Linked DNA regions of Saccharomyces cerevisiae S288C. Changing the gene in region 2 together with the main gene of any one other region gives a genetic interaction. Each region holds a gene or a part of one and is shown on either strand. Other genes may lie near its edges. The genes, in order: CIT1 and SYM1.

Region 1 (4,092 bases), on a different chromosome or scaffold from region 2:
AAAGTGACATTTATCTTGAGGTAAGAACAGAAGAAAAAAAGGAAAAAGAGAAAATTTTATGAGATTGCTTTTTTCACATGACCATATTATATTCGCTTTATCAACTTTTTAGTGTATCTTCTACTCTAGGACAGATAAAGATGCATTAACCTTGTCATTTTGCTTCTTCTGCAGGTTCATATACATATAAACGTTAGTTACACCTTGACGTAGTATATCGACTACAGGCTAGATTTTACTGCTAAATCAGCGCGCCAGCCCACCACAATTCGATTTGAAAGCGCTTTGCAGGAATTTAAGAGCATTTTGTTTTCTATTCATTGATATCATTTGCCAAGTATATAACATAACCGGTAGGCATAGGGGACTCAAAGCGTAAAAATCATGAAGTCATAGCCATTTCCTTATGTAATATATATTTATATAAATTATAAACTACTCATTCGTATATGAAAATACGTGTTTGAATAGTCGCATACCCTGAATCAAAAATCAAATTTTCCTTAGTTCTTACTTTCGATTTTCTTTACCAACTCCTTGTATTTTTCGGTGGAGAATGATTTTGGCCTTTCGATTGGAGCACCAACAGCCCTATCGATGATTAATTGGGGTAACACACCAATAGCTCTGGCAACACCAAACAATACAGTGTAGAACGAAGCCTCAGTTAGACCATAGTATTGCAATAAAACACCGGAATGTGAATCAACATTTGGCCATGGGTTCTTAGTTTTACCATGCTTAGTTAAAACCCCTGGGGCAACTTCATAAATGGTGGAGACCAACTTAAATAACTCGTAATCTGGGAAATGTTTCAATGCGAATTCACGTTGAGCCGTATAACGAGGATCAGTTTTTCTCAAAACCGCATGGCCATAACCAGGAACAACTCTCCCTGCGTTCAAAGTATCCCACAAGTACTTTTCAATTGTTTCTTTTGAATAGTCACCTTTCACTTCTTCTCTCAATTTAAATAGCCATTCTAAAACTTCTTGATTGGCACGACCATGTAATGGGCCAGCTAAACCATTCAAACCAGCGGCCAAAGATAAGTATGGCGAAGATAAGGCAGAACCCACTAAATGTGTAGTATGGGCAGAAACGTTACCACCTTCATGATCAGAATGAATAGTTAAATATAGTCTCATTAAGTCAATAAAATCCTTGTTTTCGTAGCCCAAAAGTTGGGCCAAATTTTTACCATAGTCAGCATTAGGATCGGTTGAAGTAATTTTACCATCCTTGAACACATTACGATAAATTTTGGAAGCAATAACAGGTAATTTACCCAGCAGATCTAACGAATCTTCAAATGTATAGCTCCAATATTCTTTCTTGGATACACCTTGAGCATATGCTTTGGCAAACTTAGACTCGCTTTCTAAAGCAGTCACGGCAATAGAAAATTGCGCCATTGGATGTAGATCTTTTGGGAGGCTATCTAAAAGTTGGATAACGTGCTCTGGAATTTCTGATCTGGCAGCTAAATCAGCAGAAAGGGCTTTAACTTGAGCGTCAGTAGGTATTTCACCAGTCAAAAGCAACCAAAATAAAGCTTCTGGCAAAGGTTCTGTACTACCCTCAGCCTTTGGTAGTTCCCTTTGAATTTCTGGAATAGTACGACCCCTAAATCTAATACCTTCTTCGGGGTCTAACACGGAACCTTCCCAAACAAGGCCTTTAATACCTCTCATACCACCATAAGCTTGCTCCAAAAGAACTTCACCAATAACGGTTTTACCGTGTTCTTTCTTGAATTTTTTAATTTCTTCTGCCTTTGCTGGGATAATTTCAGCAAATCTCTCCTTCAACGTTTGTTCGGAGGCGCTACTATAGTGGCGAGCATTCAATAGTGCAAAAAGAGCCTTTTGCATATTTTGACATTGTCTTGTGGAGCCCCTTGATAAGAAACTTTTGCTAGTTGTTGATAATATCGCTGACATCTTCGTAAATAGTATTATATTGCTATATGTTTTGCCTTATTTTCTTTTTAATGGTTGTAATTGTAATTACTTAAATGCAAATAAAAGCCAAAACAAACCTGGTTTGTATTTTAGTAAACAGCAAATTTCCCCCTTAAGACTAGCAATCCATAACAGGGGAAGGGTAAAGAATAGTTGCTGCAAGTTTTGAGCATTTATATAATGGATGGATATCAATTGACATTTTCAAACAACAAGAGGTCGGATAAGTCGATAGTATCGGAAAAGCTCCAAAGGGATTGCGATCCTCCAATAACACAAAAGTATTTTTGGTCTAGCGGGGGTCATACTTTTCATTTCCGGGCGGCTGCGGCGGAAAAAAACGTGACGCCTTTTAGCACAAAAATGCAAGGTAAATACATAAAAAAAAAGGCAATGTGAACGTAAAAACGCTCATATTTACAAAGATTAATTGAGCCGTTCAATGAAATGCGAACTTCGGAGATTTCTTTAATTAGTTTAGGTATACTTTCCTGCGAAGGTCTTGTTGGAATATGTAGTAATCTCTACCCGCGTTTTTAGTTAATGCTGAATGGTTTTTGATGGCTCCTTTTTTCTTAGAGTGACAGGCGCGGCAGCCCCTTAACGCGGGTACCTGAACAAGTAAATCCGAAAATTCAATTTGACAAGGGAATCATTGGGCTGACAACAATAAGATGAGCTCTCTTATATTTTTGCCCAGGGAAAAATTTTTTGCCCACTAAAGATATGCAATATTAAAAAATTTGATAAAAATAAATCAATGGGGGCGAGCCGGGACTCGAACCCGGGACCTCCCGCACCCTAAGCGAGAATCATACCTCTAGACCACACGCCCGGTAGAAGTTGTTTTAATGAATTTCAAAATATGGTACCTCAACATCAATAGATCATCAACCACAACGTAAAACATGCATGTGAGGCTTAGGTGATTTTTGAGATAATTGTTGGGATTCCATTGTTGAAAAAGGCTATAATATTAGGTATACAGAATATACTAGAAGTTCTCCTCGAGGATCTAGGAATCCTCATATTCCTCTGTTGATAATTAGAGGTTAAAAATTAGTATTAATGAAGAAATAAGTACTGATCTTCTTATACTAAATAAGAGATGTATATAAAACACACGCTGATTGGTCATATTAATCATGACCAATATAATAGTGATTCCGGTAGTTACTAAACATTGATGTGACGACTCATATTCCTCATATATGTACCTACCATAACATGTTCAACTAATAGGTCTTTAACACAGCTTCAGTATTGTCTGAGCTTCTCGTTTAACATTCCTTCTGCAATAGGCGCAATCACACTTAAACGTATACGAGGTGTACATTAATATACGATGTAAGCATTAGATTGTTACCATAGCAACTCATGTCACTATTAATTACTCTCGTTCCAACAAAACAATTCTTAAAAATTCACCAATTTAGCTTCATGGCAAGGCTTACAGATGATTAAAATCGTGTAGATCATGGAAATCGAACCTTTCACGTTCTGCAGAATTTAAAGTGACTCCATGGCCAAGTTGGTTAAGGCGTGCGACTGTTAATCGCAAGATCGTGAGTTCAACCCTCACTGGGGTCGTTTTTTTTCTTATTTCAGATAGTCTTGTCGGTAGCAAACAGTCAAATCGCTATCACTTACATGTGATATCATTTCTGTACTGCTTATGCACTATGAAGTGCGGTTTCTTTTTTATGCGATATTACATGTGTCAATAGCAAAAGGGGTAAACCGTGCTCCTATACAACAAGAACAATAGTTCGGAAATGCATGAGAACAGTGTTGTTTTATAAAGGATTCTATGTGAAATAAAACAAAGGCCGATTTGTTCGACATTTGCTGGGCTTTTCATAAATAATGGATCATAAGAATATATAATAGGGGTAAAAGTTATTTTAGCCTGCACTTTTGTGTTTTTAGAAGAACACCTTATCATTGCTAGGTAATGCGAATGGATGGACCATAATGTACGAGTTTTGTCTTGTGGCAATACCTGCGTAAGCGTTGTACCAGGCAATGAAGGCTACTATCACACCAAGGACCCCACCAGCTCTAGTGACGCCAACTTCGCCTGTGAAGTTTGCAATGGATAGAAGTAAGAAGGTCACTGCTAAGAGGA
Region 2 (3,270 bases):
CTCACTTGATTGTCTTAGATGAACCTACCAACTATCTGGACAGAGATTCTTTGGGTGCTTTGTCTAAGGCTTTGAAGGAATTTGAAGGTGGTGTTATTATCATTACTCACTCTGCTGAATTCACAAAGAACTTGACTGAAGAAGTCTGGGCCGTCAAGGACGGTAGAATGACTCCATCTGGTCACAACTGGGTTAGTGGTCAAGGTGCTGGTCCAAGAATCGAAAAGAAGGAAGACGAAGAAGATAAATTCGATGCTATGGGTAACAAGATTGCCGGTGGTAAGAAGAAGAAGAAGTTGTCTTCTGCGGAATTGAGAAAGAAGAAGAAGGAAAGAATGAAGAAGAAGAAGGAATTGGGTGATGCTTACGTTTCTTCTGACGAAGAATTCTAATCTTTTTGATCACTGCTTTCACAGTTTTCTTTAAGATTTTTATTGATCAATAATTTATGTATATTTTAATTTCTATGTTTTTGTAATATTGTTTATTTTGGTAAAATATAGACGCAACTTCCTTATTATAAAGAAAGGCATTATTTAAAAGAAAAAGCGTTCCATTAGTCAGACATCTTTTTTTTTCATACATTCTTAAGCTCAGGCAAATTGAGCATTGCCTCATACCCTTTTCGGTAAGAGGGTAACGAAAATATTTTTTTGGAAGAATAAAAATAGGTGACGGATCATAGACTAGGAAGCTTTAAAACATGATTGAGCGTAATATTATATTCCTTCTAGAAAAGATAAAAGAGCCAAGACCTAAAATTTTTTCATCCCTGTTCTATTAAAATTGTGGAAATGAGGTTTTTGAGGGGATTTGTATTTTCTTTGGCTTTCACTCTATATAAAGTAACTGCCACGGCAGAAATAGGATCTGAAATTAATGTGGAAAATGAGGCACCACCTGATGGTTTATCCTGGGAGGAGTGGCATATGGACCATGAGCATCAGCTAAAAGATTACACTCCAGAGACTTTCTTCGCGTTACATGATATCAAGAAGAAAGGATTTTTAGATGAAAACGATATTCTATCTCTCTACGGGTTGAACCGTGAAGAAATTGTGGGGGCTGGTGATGGTATGGGACAACACGATGAATCTGAGAAAATTGACAATGAAATGGCTAAGCGTGTTGTTAGCCTTATTATGAGGTTATTGGATGTTGATGATAATACCAAAATCACCAAGGAGGAATATCTACAATTTGCTAAGAGAGGAAACAAGTTCCCTGACCTTGGCGTTGGTGTAGGTCACCACTCCGATTTTGAGCTAGAATATGAAATTCATCACTGGAATAAGTTTCATAAGGACAAAGATCCAGACGTTAAAGTCGTTCACAAAGAAGACATAGAACATGAATTGCTTCATCATGAACATGAAATTGAACATGAAGAAGAAATTCAAAGAGGCGCTTCTAGAGCTACTGTAATAACTGATGACGAACTAGAGTCTAGAATAGAGCTGAAAAATATTCCCGAGAAATTCAAAAATGGAATTTTTTAATGGACTTGGTCAAGATGAATAGTTGAGACTGAGAAAATATTCAAGACACTATGTATGTAGTCAATTAGCATGTAGTAAGTAATCAAAGCACTTAAAATATATTTTTACCATCGCATCGTTGTGATGCCTCTCCTTTGTGATTAACTATCTACTTTAAACGTTCTATTTTCTATGTTCTAATTACGTATGTATTGGTCTTTTCTCTCCGATGGTAACAAGAAGCGTTTCGGGAAACAGTGGCACCTCCTTGTCCCTTAAATGTCGAACTTTAACAGTATAAGTACAAAGTGAAAAAAAAAAAAAAATGGAAATATCTATGATAGTGATATGATAGAAGAGCTATTTGAATGCTATGTTGTCATATTTAGCCTTACAAAAGGGAAAAGGCAAACACAGTCTTTTGTTATTACTATAGGAAAGATAGAATTGATATTAAAACAGTATGAAGTTATTGCATTTATATGAAGCGAGCTTGAAGAGAAGGCCCAAAACTACGAATGCGATAATGACAGGTGCGCTATTTGGAATTGGTGATGTTTCTGCTCAATTGTTGTTTCCAACATCCAAAGTAAACAAGGGTTATGATTATAAAAGGACAGCTAGGGCTGTCATCTATGGTTCTTTAATTTTCTCCTTTATAGGTGACAAGTGGTACAAGATCTTGAACAACAAGATTTATATGCGTAACAGACCTCAGTACCACTGGTCTAATATGGTTTTACGGGTAGCTGTCGATCAATTGGCGTTTGCGCCGCTAGGTTTGCCATTTTATTTCACCTGTATGTCCATCATGGAAGGTAGATCATTTGACGTAGCTAAGTTGAAAATAAAAGAGCAATGGTGGCCTACACTTTTGACTAATTGGGCAGTTTGGCCACTTTTCCAAGCGATTAACTTTTCTGTTGTTCCTTTACAACATAGGTTACTAGCTGTTAATGTCGTTGCAATATTTTGGAACACTTACTTATCTTATAAAAACTCAAAGGTTATGGAGAAAGACAAGGTACCTGTTCATTATCCACCCGTGGTCGAATAACTGGATAAGAAATCCTGATTTTGAAAATATTTGGAATTCAACTAGCATATTTATCAGACCTTGTTCCTTGGGGTACTGGAACAGCATATACCTAATAGACTTTCGGCAGAGAGCAGACCAACTTCATAAATATTTGAGTCACCAAAGTTGGCTAGCAATCTGCTTTTCCTTTACAGATGTGCTTGGTCAGGAACAATTTATTTAATTACATTCGTACTTCTTTTATAGAGGAAATAGTAGCTAACATTTCACTATTGCGGTCATGCCTGTTGTTCTTCAGCTACCGTTTATGCAAAGGTGTTTAATTAGGTGTGAGACTTAAGTGGGCCTTTTAGTACCACTGTGGGTTCTGGACCTTTATATAATATTTCATTTTTTCAAAGGTTTTTTCATATGCCGTTAAAAGAGGTCAAAACATAGACCCGAGGAACATATCTTGTAAATCGCTGCGTTATGTATGCATATTGTACTCCTACCTTCGTAACTGGAAAGAATCAGTCTGAAAGTTTATTGAGCCTGAAACGGAGCAAGATTATAGTTGAATGTTTCTTATTCGGTGTTGATAGTAGATGATGACCAAAGCTTTTTTTAACAAACTACCGTTTGAGGTATTCCGTCGGTACGTTAGGACAGGTAAAAGCATCCCTCAAAGAAGCCCCAGGACAAGAAAATCTCTTCTGGTGGGTGGGACTATTGCATCAGCAGTAGTTTTGTACAACTTTAATGACACTTTTC

What was found.
Region 1: mutations in SYM1 (region 2) and CIT1 impair growth when combined (synthetic growth defect), as found in Saccharomyces cerevisiae (one study listed by BioGRID).

Annotation. Positions count from the first base shown.
Region 1 is NC_001146.8:629,119-633,210, forward strand, and holds CIT1 (citrate (Si)-synthase CIT1), read right to left. Parts: upstream 1,944-4,092; coding exon 504-1,943; downstream 1-503. Other genes in the region: putative ammonium permease ATO2, read right to left, coding at 3,890-4,092. UniProt on the Saccharomyces cerevisiae protein: Specific citrate synthase with catalytic activity only with acetyl-CoA.
Region 2 is NC_001144.5:639,523-642,792, forward strand, and holds SYM1 (ethanol metabolism protein), read left to right. Parts: upstream 1-1,941; coding exon 1,942-2,535; downstream 2,536-3,270. Other genes in the region: YEF3 (translation elongation factor EF-3), read left to right, coding at 1-392; nucleobindin SSP120, read left to right, coding at 795-1,499; CQD2 (Cqd2p), read left to right, coding at 3,105-3,270. UniProt on the Saccharomyces cerevisiae protein: May be involved in cellular response to stress. Required to maintain mitochondrial DNA (mtDNA) integrity and stability. Required for ethanol metabolism and tolerance during heat shock.